2 linked regions of the Neodiprion lecontei genome follow. The protein of the gene in region 1 purifies or fractionates together with the protein of each later gene. This does not show direct contact. Links are inferred from orthologs where the notes say so. Each region holds a gene or a part of one and is shown in the gene's direction. Other genes may lie near its edges.

The links.
Region 2: the proteins of transcription factor IIIB 90 kDa subunit (region 1) and TATA-box-binding protein purify together in Drosophila melanogaster (affinity purification with mass spectrometry; 3 studies listed by BioGRID, with this or other methods). This does not show direct contact. The link is inferred for Neodiprion lecontei from reciprocal best matches to the Drosophila melanogaster genes Brf and Trf.

Annotation. Positions count from the first base shown.
Region 1 is NC_060263.1:2,927,878-2,935,928, reverse strand, and holds the start of transcription factor IIIB 90 kDa subunit, read left to right. Parts: upstream 1-2,960; 5' UTR 2,961-3,178; intron 3,179-3,789; coding exon 3,790-4,000; intron 4,001-4,223; coding exon 4,224-4,308; intron 4,309-4,394; coding exon 4,395-4,531; intron 4,532-4,711; coding exon 4,712-4,816; intron 4,817-5,600; exon of another isoform or gene 5,601-6,240; coding exon of another isoform or gene 6,241-6,705; intron 6,706-7,539; coding exon of another isoform or gene 7,540-7,718; intron 7,719-8,017; coding exon of another isoform or gene 8,018-8,051. Other genes in the region: developmentally-regulated GTP-binding protein 2, read left to right, coding at 161-224, 351-658, 734-1,164, 1,257-1,458, 1,541-1,627; BTB/POZ domain-containing protein 6, read right to left, coding at 6,241-6,705, 7,540-7,718, 8,018-8,051.
Region 2 is NC_060262.1:28,878,641-28,886,575, forward strand, and holds TATA-box-binding protein, read left to right. Parts: upstream 1-2,650; 5' UTR 2,651-2,900; coding exon 2,901-2,999; intron 3,000-3,031; exon of another isoform or gene 3,032-3,077; coding exon 3,078-3,184; intron 3,185-3,545; coding exon 3,546-3,789; intron 3,790-4,043; coding exon 4,044-4,242; intron 4,243-4,454; coding exon 4,455-4,531; 3' UTR 4,532-5,121; downstream 5,122-7,935. Other genes in the region: intraflagellar transport protein 52 homolog, read right to left, coding at 194-463, 607-855, 933-1,215, 1,332-1,440, 1,934-2,151, 2,299-2,432; uncharacterized protein LOC107220697, read right to left, coding at 5,216-5,287, 5,427-5,614, 5,780-6,161, 6,320-6,412, 7,298-7,579, 7,917-7,935. UniProt on the Drosophila melanogaster protein: Acts as a transcription factor. Binds to the TATA box promoter element which lies close to the position of transcription initiation. May be essential for embryonic development.

The DNA of each region.
Region 1 (8,051 bases):
CCAAGTTCTTTTCCGATTTCGGGTAGTCTATGCTTGATTTACCGAATTGTAAATTATTCACGTGGGTCAGTGTGATTTTGAGTGAGCGCAGATTGTGTCGCCGTTAGTTGTAAATTCGTCGATGCGAAGACAAGCAGCTCAAAGCTGAGGGTAGCCAATCATGGGTATACTCGAAAAAATATCAGAAATCGAGAAAGAGATCGCTCGGACGCAAAAAAATAAGGGTTTGTTTCGGATTTGAGGTTATGTGTCTGCCAGCCGCAACGCCGTGACCGGCTCGGAGTCTGGGGATTTTGCATTTTTTCTAATTTTCTCAACCGTCGTTTAAAGGTCGATATTTGTTTTTACAGCGACGGAGTATCATCTCGGCCTATTGAAGGCAAAGTTAGCCAAGTATCGCTCCCAGTTATTAGAGCCGTCAAAGAAATCCGAAAAGGGGGAAGGGTTCGATGTACTGAAATCAGGAGATGCGCGGGTCGCCCTGATCGGTTTTCCCTCTGTGGGTAAATCCACTTTACTCAGCACCCTTACTCACACCGAATCCGAAGCTGCGTCCTACGAATTCACAACGCTTACGTGCATACCAGGTGTAATCGAATACAAGGGAGCAAACATACAACTTTTAGATTTGCCCGGTATCATCGAAGGTGCCGCTCAGGTATTGCCTAGAAAAATAAACACCGGCGATGTTTTCGCGTACATCGAGTTTTCTAATTCTTGGTAATTTTCCCAGGGAAAAGGAAGAGGGAGGCAAGTCATAGCCGTCGCAAGAACGGCAGATTTGGTATTGATGATGTTAGATGCGACGAAACAAGATGTACAACGACAATTATTAGAGAAAGAATTGGAGTCTGTTGGTATTAGACTGAACAAACAGAAACCCAATATATATTTTAAAATAAAGAAGGGTGGGGGGCTCTCGTTCAACTCTACTTGCCCACTGACTAAAGTTGACGAGAAGTTGGTCCAAATGATCTTACATGAGTATAAAATATTCAACGCTGAGGTATTGTTTCGCGAAGACTGCACTGCCGATGAGCTCATCGATGTTATCAATGCAAACAGAGTGTACCTACCCTGCCTGTACGTATACAATAAGATTGATCAAATATCTATAGAAGAAGTTGATAGAATCGCGAGGCAAAGCAACAGCGTCGTAGTTAGGTGAGTCAAGCATAGGATACTATCAGTTTTTGGAAAGCGTTCACGCGCAATTCCACCAACAAAACTTCTAAGCTAAAATACTCTTACGACAGTTGCAACATGAAATTGAATTTGGACTATTTGCTGGAGGTTCTGTGGGAATATTTGTCACTCATCAGGGTTTACACTAAAAAACCTGGTCAACCACCAGACTTTGATGATGGATTGATTTTACGGAAGGGAGTCACGGTCGAACATGTCTGTCACAGCATTCACCGGACTCTCGCTGAACAATTCAAATATGCTCTTGTTTGGGTAAGATTACCGGATGTAAAGTATGTTTAAAAATGACGAGATATTTACCACCTCTAAACTTCGATGAACATTCTCTTTGCAGGGCACGAGCACAAAATACTCACCCCAAAGGGTAGGATTGCAACATGTGATGCATGACGAAGATGTGATACAAGTGCTCAAAAAATAAATCAATGCAAATACTTTGGTTTGACTAATATACCATAGTATAATATACTAATGATGATGGTGAACGATATTATCAGCTTCGCAAAGCCTAATGTATATTTTATATATTCTAAAAATAAGCAATCCACAAAATGGATGAAATAACGTCACTTTTTGGGGTATAAATATCCAAGCTATAAAAAATTATGCGACACATTATTTCAATGTCAATTCTTTCTTCCTCAAGTATCCACGAATTTAGTTGACTTATTACATCGTTTTTAATAAAATTGTACTGTTAATGGATTGATAAGAAACATTCTCGTCTTTTAACGTTGTTCGAATGAAAATACTTGCTTCATTATTTGGAAAAAAAAATGGCATCCCCACACCCATTATGCCAGTCTCCGTATTATTTATGAACTTATCCGACCATGGCGAACCTTTTTTTGTCCACTGCAGGTCTTGTCGTTTGTCCTTTGCACCAAAGTTACCGACCCCAATCAAATTTCTTCAGATCTAATGTATTTTGATGTCCGCCAAAGCAAAAAGAAAAAGAATTCTTTTCAAGAATTGTGGTAATTTATATCGAAATCTAAAGAAACTTTATCACTTTTAAAGAATTTTTCTTCCTGATTCCAAATTCCTACATTTTTAATTTCCTATTCCAATTTTTTCTAATTGTTTGGAATTTGTTGTAATATCGGTATTTAACTTAAGAAAACAAGGCGGGTGAGTCGATATATAACTGAATAAAACTCGAGATATGCTTCGGTGATTTGGAGTTTCAATTTGAGTCACTTCGGGTTCATCTGTGCTATTTTTCCAAATTTTCGCTCATAGTTTCAATTTTTCCGAATTTTGTTATTAGATTGACCAGTTTTGTTAGTTTTCATACACATTTCAAATGAAAATTAATACAAATCGTTCCCGCGCTTAGAGCATATACTACTAGAGGTAGAGCTATCTAAGATGATGTCACAGAAATGTAACATGACGCCCATGAATGCGACAACTGATTTCACGTAAATAGATTACTTGAAGTTATTTATTTCCATATATTCTGCTTACTGATAGTGCCAGTATGTGCATTCAAAAGTTGCAAAAATAATAACATAAACACTAAAGGATAAAATATAAAATTTTTATCTTTCCCAACAGAGGATAATTACGTTCATGTTAATTACGTTTGAATTTGGCGCTTATAAAGTTCGAAAAATCATGCATGTATGTATGCCAACCAAAGAAATCTAAAGAAATTTCGACCTCCGTCCAACGCTTCGTCCACTCCATGGATTTCCGGTCGGATTTCGCTTCGGCGGTTGGCAAGGCCGATTTGAACGGTCGATTTTATCGTAGGAGTTGCGATTGTGAGTCAGTGTGAGTATCGCAGCACCGTAGAGTGGATATATGTACAAGAAGTGATACTGCTTCGTCGGATAACAACAGCGGAATTCTTCGTGCGGTGATTCTTTCGCTGCACCACTTTGGTTTCATAATATAACGATTATCCACAGCGTCAGCGAGCGTCATTCGTACCTATAAACGGTCAAACGCACGACACTAATTCAAGGTTAGCTGTTGCACAATAATAATGTACCCAAAGGCAGTTATTTGTATTGTAGGTTAGCTGCCAATGAATGTTTAAGCTTAATTATACATGCCTGTAATTAGCATGAATTTGACATTGCGATCCTTACAATTCTGTCACATTTACTTCCATTTGTCTTGATATTTTGCATTTTCATCAATGCGCCAAACTGACCCCGCAGCTGTAATTCTGATTTGTTTGACAGCTACGTCAATGCTTCGTTGAATTTTTCACTTCATCGTACATTTGGAATTGATTTCTTTACGAGAAAAATTCCCATTTATTGTATTTAATTATTGAAATAAGAAACCTCAGCTGAAAAGAATACCAAAAATTATCGTAAAAAAGACCAATTATGATGAGCCGACAGACATCGGAGAAAGAGACCTGATATTTATAATAATATAGATATTATTATGTGCCTTATAATCCCTATAATCCTATTTATCCCTGTATGATTAACTTTGTAATTTTACTTACAGGTGTAACTTTACTTTACTGGTTAAATAAACATCAAATATCAAATTTGGTAAAAGTGTCGATAATATTTTAACCAGAGAACTGTTAATAATCACAGTGTCGTTTTGTTTCAGATGTCGGGCAGCAAGTGCCGCAATTGCGGATCTACGGATATAGAAACCGATCCAGCACGCGGAGACGCAGTTTGTACACAATGTGGTTCTGTCCTCGAGGATCAGCTGATAGTCAGCGAAACAGCTTTCGAGGAAACTGCGACTGGGAATATTATGCTTGCCCAGTTTGTAGCCAGCGACAGTGCCGGCGGTGCAACAAGTTTTGGTGCAGGTATGCCTAAATATTCTGCCTACTTTCGTGGTTACTTGAATCAGGCGAATACACTCGTCCGAGATTCAGCTATGCATATCACTGAGCTGTTAATCAATATTACGAGTGTATAACTAAGAAGATACGTACCTGTGATCTTGTGAAATTAGTGACAAATTTTAAGTAATTCTGTCATCTCGTTATACACACTCACAGTTTAACGCAATTCTATCGCCAATTGTAGCCTACCATGTGAGCGGTAAAGAATCTCGGGAAGTCACTATACAAAATGCGAGGAAAGGCATAACAAATCTCTGTACTCAGCTAAGGTGAGAATATTTTTGTGCAAATAAGTATCTAATCGATACATTCATATACTTTGAATGAATCTGTGACGACTTTATCCAATACCTAGGTTAAATCAACACTGCGTCGATACTGCTGTAAATTTTTATAAAATGGCATTGAGTCGTCATTTAACCAGGGGTCGGAAACAGGAACACAATCATGCAGCTTGCGTTTACATTACATGTCGCACCGAGGGAACAGCACGTATCCTTTTCAGAACAAACCTATCATAAGTATGATTCGTGCAGAATAGCTGCGTAAACTCATTCGAAATGTTGAGAATATCTAAATATTTGATACTCATGAATTTTATTAAGATTAAAAATTATTTCTAGAAACTTCTCTGCGATATGAAAAAATCTTTTTCCTTAATAACAGATTTAGATATGTTAATTGATATTAGCGATGTACTACAAATTTGCGTTTACGAATTGGGACGGACATATTTGAGATTCACTCAGGCGTTATGCATCAACATTCCTTCAATGGGTAAGTTTGATCTTATCTCATTATAGTTTATTTTTATATTCGGTGATTATCATGTGTTGGATGGAAATGGGGAAAAATGTAGGAATAACGATACATCGAGTTTAATATTTTATGTGTTTATAGTATGAAATAACAATTTACATATTAGAAATGATAAATTTCTATACACGTGAAATGGCAGAAGCAGATCTAACAATATAACTCATTATTCCAACAATATTTGAATAGTATAAGAAAGTGCCTGCAGCCTAGGTGCTGATACGTATAAAACGTAACTATATATTCTTCTCATACAGAGATCTACGGGGTTTAATTTTTTCTTTTTTCTCCTCTCTTCTATTAATAGGCTAGTAGTTTATAATATCTCATACATGTCAAATTCTATGAAGATTTCGCACTTGTTGCGTAAGAAATTTTACAACCTTCGATACAACGTGTTCAAAGTGAATAGTTTTTACATCTTATTCGAGACAAGATATCATAGCATGGTGCAATCTTAATCTGACTATCACAATGAATGTTAGTGGTTGTACTCCAAGTATATAGTTATACAAGTAAGTGCTGACTATTTTCCAACTTTGGCTTAGGTGCCGAATTTAATAAAAATTGTATTAAAATTGTCACCACTGAATCATCGATATATATATATATATATATATATATATATGTGTGTGTGTGTGTGTGTGTGTGTGTGTGTGTGTGTGTGTGTGTGTGTGTGTGTGTGTACATATAGTATATATATATATATATATATATATATATATATATATATATATATATATATGTGTGTGTGTGTGTGTGTGTGTGTGTGTGTGTGTGTGTGTGTGTGTGTGTATATAAATATAGTATATATATACATATACAAACTTATTCAGAATAAAGTAATAAAACACTAAATCAGGAGCATAGTTTTTGTCATGACTTGTGCGTTGCTTAAAAGGTGAAGAAAAATTGAAATTTTCTCTGTTCTCTTCTATTTCACATTTGAAATTACAAGTTGATAATATTATTTGATACCGTTGCCGTGAATAAAGAATTCGATAAAATAACATTTTTTTTCTCCAGTATTTAATATTTTAAATTTAACAATGAAATCGTGAGAATGATATTTCCTAACAAGCTACACTATTTTACACTTTATAAAAGTGACGAAAACTAAATCTGGGATAATATTATCTTAGCGGTGGTCTATCTCCATGTGTAATTATAATTTTACTCATAATTGTTATTTTCACTGCAATAAGTAAAGTGAGAATAACTTTTATACATAATAAATATGGGATGTAATATCAATGTCCGATATTCAACAGCTCCCCTCAGCGCAGTGTCAATAGGAAATGGGAGCGGTAAAACCATTAGTGAGAAACATTATTGATAGTTATTGCAACGGGTAATTACACCATTGTCTCTGGGATAAAGTTACGTCAATCATCTGTAGGGGGTCCATAAAATATAAGTTCAGGAATTTGACCTCCCTGAACTCCAGTCCCATTTGTACTTTCTGAGCTGCATTGGAATTGAAAATTAACACTGCCAATGGTTGCTTCCGACATCCCTTCTTGACCAAAGTAGCTCAGTTCACCACCGTCCAATATTGCGCTTGCGGTATAAAAACACTCAGGTTCTATTTGAATAGGATTTTCGAAGTACACGTGAAAAGTATTGCTCGAACCGTCGGAAAAGAATTTCGTATTATTTTCCGATAATACACGGCCCAATCTTTTCAATTCTATTTTAACGTTATAGTCAGCCGCTCCTGATGAACTTCCGTATAAACCAAAACCAACAACAAAAATTCGCTTATCGACGCTAAACTGAATCGAATCGCATCTCCCTCTGTAGCGCCATTGATTAGATCTGTATGCACACGACTGAAACCTGTGGCAGACCTGAAAAGAGATAATAATTGGTGTTTTGATAGCGTTTACATTCGTCAGGCATATAAGAAGGATAAGAGCGAATATTTGTTAGTGATAGAACTCGGGGTGTATCGATTTTAGCAGCGAGAGAATTTTATTCAATTTTTTATCGCTTTAAAGATGTGAAAATTCGAAAGTTTCTCATAATTTTAAAATGATTTATTTAATCGAAAACCACAGCGCTCTTAATCTCTGAAATGATATCGATTATTTTCAGCAAAGGTCGTTTTGAACATTCTATCGTTTTCTTGATAGTATCTTTATACGTGTATTGGGGTGCGAGTAGATTCGAAGGAAAATATTAATAGCGATAATGATAGCGTGCATAGCAGGCAAACAAAAATTCAGACTTCTCTGTAACGTCCAACTTCAATTTATGATTTTTAGAGATGTTAGTGGCAGTTGGGAGGAAATAATTATTAAAGTTAATAGATTGCTTCTAGGTAATATCAATTGTCTACAACCAATGAAAAATTGTTAGTCTGCAGCATTGAAGACATTTGACAAGTTTAGTATCAATCATAGAAAGAAAAATGTATTTCATATCGTTCCAACTTTGTTCTCAAATTCATAAAAGGGCCAATTGAGTGGCGTTAGGTAAAGTTTGGTGGTAAGTGAAATACAGAAATTGAAAATGGAAGAATATCAAGTAAAAAAAAAAAAAACAGGTACGCTCGAAATTCTCTGACAAGTAGTAACAGCTACCAGCAAATTATATGATCTGCGAACACTAATAGAGAATATAGTATTGATAAAAAATCATGAAATAGATTAGGGACAAAAACCAAAAACGTTGTGATTCACCTGAGTCTTCAGCCCTTGTCGAGGTTTGATTGGGTAACAAAGTTGTGGCTTGCTACTTGCAGTGAAATGGAGAAAAATGTCTATTGTTTCCTGTGGGTTTAGAATCCCAGTTTGTGCTACGCCATTAGCAAACTCCTCTAAGCTCATAGCCGGGAGTCTTATTAAATTTAAGGCAGGTCCTAGAAGAAAGAAATAAAAGTTTTACATCCGTAGCTAAAGGTCTTTGCAAGGTGGGAAAAAAAAAAAAAGAAACAACAATTATTTGCTCATAACACATAGTATTGATGTGCGATGGAACGTTTCAGAAAAGTTTCATGCAATTCGTGAGCCAAGTAATGGCCGAAAACACGATCAATCATTATCACTTTGACAATAATATATTTGTGGTGCTTAAAATTATTGTAATCACCGTTCCGTCATACTGTAGATGTACGTACATTTGATGAGAGGCTGAAAAAAAAATAGGGATAAAACTCACCTAACAACCGTCTCTGATTGGCGGGTGTAGCCTC
Region 2 (7,935 bases), on another chromosome or scaffold:
ACCTAGGTGGCACACAAAAACAATTCCTCTGTTTTCGAAATTGAAAATATGGAAACAATATCTGGTACGAACGAAAGTATTTAAGATAATTGAATTATTAGTAGCTTATATTTATAAGTGTATTGTTGAGATTTTATTGCAATGTATATACACGGTAATTGTTTGTTGATTGTATTGATAATTGGTTAAGTAATTAAGTATGTACTTTTTTGAAATTAGCTAATTTTTGGAAAATATTGTTCAACACTTCTTTAGCCGTACACGATTCTGCATTAGGTATTCGTATTATTCCTCCAAATTCTCTTATATAGTAGTCCAACTCCATTTCATTTGATTGATTTTTATTAGCCAAGTATTTATTGGAAAGTTGAGATAATTTTAGCAAATCAGAACTGAAGGCTTCGTCTAAGTCATACAATTCTAAAGCTGGTGGTGGAAGTTCTTGAAAACTCGGTGGGAAGACCTGTGGATCAAGCATTTTCAATCGATATTCAGAAAACATCAGCAGGATGTATTCTGATATTTGCATCAGTTGAAATAAATTAGTTAGGATTCTCTGACTTCTTTAGATCAGTTATCAACGTAATGTTTCAGCCAATGTCTCACCGATGCCTGTGTTGGTGGTAAAGGGGTCTCGAACTGGGGGGTAATTAACGTCAACGGCTGCTTTTTCACCCCTAAAACTTCATATGCCTTGATACATGCAGGAATCATATTCAAATGTATGGAGTAAAAGTGTTGTTTGAACAACTTGGTGTATTCTCGTGGTATTTCAATGTTGTCTAATTCTTGGGTGCAAACTTTTGGGATGTCCGCTTGCTGAGTTGTATCCGGAACAAAATTGTACTCCCAATACTGTAAAAATCATTTTCATTATGTGTAAGTTTTGATGATGAATAAATTCAGATCGCGAGTAAACAGGAGAGTCTCACATCAATATCATCGGGTTGCGTGTGTTTCACAGTTACTTCGTCAGAACTAAAGAATTCAAACAACATTTCCCTAAATTGGTCATTTCTTTCTTTCTCTATGTAACTGTCCGTCAGCATTCTCGACGAGCCCAAGACAACCAATTTACCGCCGTTCGATTTTGACGAGTAGTAAGCACAAATTGGTCTATTTGTTGGTATAGCAACTGCCCCACTCGATAGAGTCACACTGGATGGTTGTACTACATTCAAAGTTGCCCCGTATGGATACAAGTACTTCAAACCTCTGAATATTCGATTAATTATAATCATTGCAATTAAAGTCAGTATAGCTGTATGATACGGAAAATGGTTCAATTTTAAAACCAAGAGTTATTGTAGTATGACGTCTTTATTACTCACGTGTACTCGTCGCGATTTTTCACGAAAACTGATTTATTTGACAATCCTTCTGATATGACACATTCCTTCGGATGAAATGTTTGACTGTAATTCATTCTGACCACACTATCTGAAAATTTTTTGAACATTTCAAATTGTATTCGTTCTTGGGTTCTTCTTTAATGGCCCTCCTTTTATCTAGGAGGACAATTTTCGTATGATATCTTAGCGATTACAATTAATGTCACTATACTTTCTTGCGTATGTACATAATATATTAGAATATTTTCTGACTGTGTCTAAATAACGATTTATAATTTATACTCTGAAACGGAGCATAATACGGACTGTTAGCTGATACTGTTACGGCTAAAAAAAAATATTTTTTTTATCATCTAAAAGTATTGTATAAAATTTCTCTACATTTGCAAATCTTCATATGAAGAAAGGGTAAATGGAATTAATTATACATTCATTATAGAAGCAAATAAACAATAAGTTAGTGAAATTACTTCACATGAGACGACAATTATGATTATTTCAAATATGATTGCCTATAAATGTAGTTTTAACTGCTAGATATGTGATTTACAAAACTGTATCAATTCAAATTTGCGCCTCACCATTATTCACCATAATTCCAAATTCCTCCAACAAAAAGTTGATATTCGTATTGAATTTATTTTCTCCACCTTCGCCAAGCATGACCAATACGTTTCCTCCAGAATTTATGAACGTTCTGATAGCGTTCATTTCGAGTTCGGTGAATTTGCTGCGAGGGCCTGGCAATACTAAGACCTTGCCAGTAGTTAGCGATTCTTGCGATAGGACGTCGTTGTTTCTACAAACAATTTTAACACCGTTGAATGCTTTTTTTCCTAGAGCCGATCTGATTTGTTTCCGATTTACTGTATTCAGACAAGATTGAAAATGTGTAGGTACATATAATCAACTATATTGCAGTGTAATGAAATTGTTCTCAACTCACTCTATAAACTTCCATTTCGGTTTCAACTTTCTCTGAAGAACTTTAAATTCCTCGTTCAACCTCCGCTCATTTTTTGAAGCGTCAAATATTATAACGTTAACATTTGAATCGGCAGTGGAATGGGCAGTAGTCATATTATTCGTTCGTGATACTTTTCGCTGCTGAATAAATATGAAATATGTACGAAAGTGTCGGTGTTCCGAACTTCACCTCGGGACAATAATTGTCATTAATCGTTTGGTCAGTCTGAAATACTTGAGCAAACGTTACGGTACTATCGTTGCTACGGGCAACCCTTATGACAACTTATCAAATAATCAAATAACGACGCGCCTTCATGATTCTTCACGTAGGGTCCGATTGACCATAGGGTGTCGCGTCTATGATCGATTTCGTCTACGGCAGAAGTGTTCGTACATTATATGAGCTTAAAAAGATCCGTTGCGGACCACGCGTAAAGAATCACGAAGTATCCATGGCAACGCCTTAGATGGCATGAGCGATGCAAGGTTAGGTTCGTTCGATCGGGTGACAACGTGTGGTGTTGTAGTGTAAACTGTCCGTCGCGGACTGCGGATGTTGAGTTCTTAATTTGAGATAAAATGAGTTCTGCAACTCAAACTGACAATGAGTTGAAAAAACTGTTAAACAATCCAGCTAAAAATGTCACGGATGACGCCTCTATGGCGCCTCCGCTTTCGGTAAGTGTCCAAATATGTTTCCTACAGGTTACCTTTTGACACTTGTTTGTTTATTATCGGTCAATTTTTCTGGTGTAGACGAACGTTCCACGGCCGAGTACGTCTCAAAATGTTAATCCACAGTCAGCAATGAATCCCATGCTACCTGCCTTTAGTAAAAAGGAGGTACTTCAACCGCGTTTGCAGTGAGTATATCGTACCACCTGGTTAGTTCATACATTTTTTCGTATTCGATAATACGATCTTTCAATTTGCAAATTAGAATTCTGTAATGCACCGAAAATTTGTACTATACTTATTTAGCATTGATTGAAATAGTTAGTTAAACTAGCAGCAGATACAAAACGAACCGAGTTTCATTCACCTGACGTGACTAGGTGTTCATGCAACTATCTTCTTCGGTTTGTTATACACAAACTATGTATACGTGTGTATACTTGTTTTTTATACATAATATTAATGGTACTTTTAAACTTTTATCCAAGTTTTTCACTCCCATAATGAGATTGAATAATCAACATTGCATTCGTTGTTCTTTGTTCACAGAAATATAGTATCAACAGTTAATTTAGGAATGGAATTAAAACTCATGTATATAAATACTAGAACGAGAAATTCGGAATACAACCCTGCACGTTTCACCGGGCTGATCATGCGAATACGAGAACCAAAAACAACAGCTCTTATATTTAGATCTGGTAAATTGGTTTGCACTGGAGCACGGTGTGAAGAAGATTCATATCTAGCAGCCAGAAAGTTTGCCAGAATAATACAGAAATTAGGATTTGCTGTAAGTATTTTGTTTTAAGTAGGCGCGAAAATTTTTCTATGAACCGATCACAGTGCAACTGCTTATTACATCAAATGTTCAATCATACAGAATCTAATGGGCTTGCAGAATTGGAATACTTTTCCTCTTCAGAATGATCTTTTCGTTTGAAGCAGGTTACGTTAAATTTGTAATAATGAGGTTTTATTCACTGAACACTGGAATGTAAGATTTGTCTATTTTTTGTACTGAACAGTGTGCCATCAATATTTTAGGTAAAGTTCATGAACTTCAAAGTTCATAATATTGTTGCAACGTGCGACTTGAAGTTTCCCATCAAGTTGGAAAACTTAAATCACATGCACGGACAGTTTTCTAGTTACGAACCAGAGCTATTCCCTGGTTTGGTTTATCGCATGGTCTTGCCAAGAGTTGTACTCTTGATATTTGTCAATGGGAAGATTGTACTAACTGGTGGGTATGCTTGAATTTCAACATTGCATCATTACTATAGTAGACAAAGCATTTTACTTGCAAGCCCGTTCTTATATAGTTTTTAATTTTTCCTAAAAACGGTTAATTTACGTATTAGCTTTACGCAAGAAGCATTACAAGGCATCGATCAGCGAATCATAAACATATTCACAAATAAACTGTTGATAAAAAGTCCTTTACTATACTTTCAGGTGCCAAGAGTCGTGCGGAATTACAAGATGCTTTAACAAATATACATCCAATTTTAAAGAGTTTTAGAAAACAGTAATATGCCCATAGCCAGAGGCTATTGTGGCCAAGTTGTTAATCATAGAATAAATTTTTGTACATTACAATCAATGGAATAAATCTGTGATTATTTATTATAAAATCGCGTGGATTATTGTACTTTTTCTTCAGTAGAACAGGTTGTACGAGAGAAATTAAAGTCGAATACACGGAAGATGACGCAGGTGTGTCAACTGTTTTAAAATATATATTTTCTCAACTTGGGAAATAAAAATACATTAGCTGTAATACTCGATATCAAAATAAAATGCGATTGAGAAACGTAATAAAATATATTCTATTGATAAATCAGTACTCTTCTTCTTTATAATAATCTATTTCCATAAAAGTATATAATTTATGTCAGGAAATTTATTTAGAGTAACATAATCCAGCGAGATGAAATGTTGGATTCTGAATATTGTGTGCTTCTTTCGCGTTAGAATTAAATATTTCCGTTCCAACAGCAAAATGATTCTTTCGCGATAAAATTGTGTCCGAATGTTTGCACGCGTTTACCGGATTTATCTTAATTCTTTCGATAGTGTTACACCATCTACCATTCAATGCACATGTATGTGTAATAATAAATCGTTCAAAATATTTTATCTAGTGATAATAATTTTTCCTCAGGACGTTTTACCGCTTAGGGCGTTGGATCGAGGATAACGTTTTTATTAATTAATTAATAACCAACGTTAATGCCCTTCTTAGCCGCAATAGGCAGCTTCTCCCCTTGGAAGAAAGGATTTTCATGCTGCAACAAAAATTATGCACAGTCAGGAAAAGTGAGATATGGAGAAAAAGACCGTTCTTCTACTGTTCAAACTGTGATAAAAAATGAAAGAAATCGGTAATTCCATATTTTCATAGCAATACAGAATAGAAATAAGTACTTGGAACTGTTCGACAATTTGGTCGAAATCTGAATTCGAGATGTGCATGTTTGAAAGGCCGTCGTTATTCTCTGATCCACTGGTGCAATCCACCATGTGTTCCTTGTCGCACATACAGTCTTGAGCACTCTGGTAATCACGACTGAATGCAGCGGTATTTTCAAAATTTGTTATGCAATGATCGACACCTGTGTGTGAAACATTACTTCCTTAAACGGGCTGTAACATCTATTTGATTAATAATATAATTCTTGAAAATTGACCGTCAAGTAAAAAATTTAACTACCATATCGGAAAACACTAAGTAGGAATCTAAATATTATAGAACCATCTAAACATCGATTTTGACTTACTTGTATAGCCAATGGGACAGGGGTTTGGTGGAGTGCAATAGGCGGGCAAATTGGTCTCAGTTTTTTCGTCCTTAATACCCTTCAAACCGGCAGCTTGAATCCTGTGCCTGTCATTACCGTTGTTATTGTTCAGACGTTGGTGACTCCATAATGAGCTATGTTGCAGATATTCCTGATCACGGATGCTGGGGTTCGGGTTTGGGGTGTCAATACCCTCATAATCGAGTGAAATGTCCGCCGGAATTTCTTTCACTTTTTCATACTCGTTTTGCAACCGCGAATCGTAAGGGAAATCCATGTAGTTCTCGGGAACGTCGACAAATTCGTTACCCATACGGTCCACCAATTCTCGAAGAAGGATGTCGGTGAATAAATGTTCTTGCTGTTTTAAAACGGAAATTTTTTATAGAATTAGATCCGCAATGCGGTGCACAGAAAACTTTAAAAGCGTGTTGAAATCACCAAGGAGTTTCGCCACTTATGTTTCATAAGTAAGTACGTAACGCGAAATAATCTTAAAGTGAATAAATTTTCATCTACCTTGAGAGGTGGCATGTATTGCATCGATGCACTGCTCAGGACGACTGCCGAAAGCAGTAAAATGACGTGATGCATATTCGAAGTCATGCCTAGCTGGAAGTAAAATCAATTGTAATGATTGATTCCAATGAATATCATTTTATTCAATTTAAATGTTACTAATTTGGTACTGCAGGTAGTAATTGAGTGAATAAAAGAGTCAAATATCATAAATGATAACGAAGTTGAAGTTATAGTAACGTGACTTTAACGATCCTTAGGATTGTCGAAAATTCAGTTAGTAAATCGTGACACAGAAAACATGTTCATAATTCGACAAGCCAACTCCTTGAAAGTCGTTCTAACATTGTATAATAAAAAATTTTTCCATCATATTTCCTTATGCGTTAATAACTTTAGTGTTCTGAATAATGAGCTTTTCCATTGTGCGTTAGTTCGATTAATGACATTTTTTAATAAACGATTCTTCCAGATTAAACTGCTCCTTATTTCTCGGTTGAACATGTGTTCAACGTGTGTTCATTGCTTAGAGCCAACCGATATTGATCTCATGCTCGACTTTCTGCCCGAATCAATAATTGTAATAGGAATACACGGATATTGTCCTTGTAACGGTGTCCTGAGAATTTAAACACACAATCTTTCCGATCAACATCACATATGTTACCCTCTGCCCTCTTTGAACGATATGGTGCCGAACGTATCGTTTGAAGATAATCGATCTACCCGATACTGAGTTCCAATAATAAATCAAATCATATTTATAGGGGTAACGAGAGTCTTTAGCTTAATTTGCAAGTGTAATGAATTTTCAGAAATACTATGTAATGGTGTTGTGGGCAATTTTTATATCTGACTTGTTGCACCAGTTGTTTCTACTGAGAAAAAAAATGTCCCATTTCTGCGTGTATACACTACTAACGAACAAAATGGAGTGTTAAATTTCGAGGAACATCGATGTCAGCGCGTGCCACTAACCTGACGAATGCTGACAGGATATAGTCCTGAAAATGTTCTTGAAGAGGGTTCCTTGCTCGTCCAGTTCGCTCTCACGCTCACGTCAAGTTCGTCAGATAAAGTTCTATTTTGGATCAGAGTCTGGTGGGTCCGGTGGCGCCAAGCTTCGAGAACTGAAGTATTGATCTGCGTAGATACAAAACAGCGGTCGACGTCAGTGGCTCGTTTGAACGCAACACCTCGGGAGAGACTCGCTGGCTGCGATTCGTCTTCGGCAGCGCTGATTATTAGCTGTGCTTCCAGCTAACGATTACATCATTTACCGTTTACCACCTTTACTGAATTAACATGCTTACCCCTCGTATCCTAGACGACGATTACGAGGCTCATGCTCAAAAAACCGACTCTGGAGTATCGAAGGTGTCGAGTGCGCACGATACTTTTTTAGCACTCAAAAGCACAATGGTTTCGAAATTACGTTCTGTAGAAAGCCGTTGAAAGATAATCAGTTAGGCTTGTAACTACCTGGTCTAACAATGTCGAGATATGCGTAGGCTTATATAATGTATTATACGTACAACGTAATCAGTAATTTAATGATCGTACCATTAGTAATATCGATTATTCCGGTTTATCGTACCTTCGCGGCTGTTTGCCAA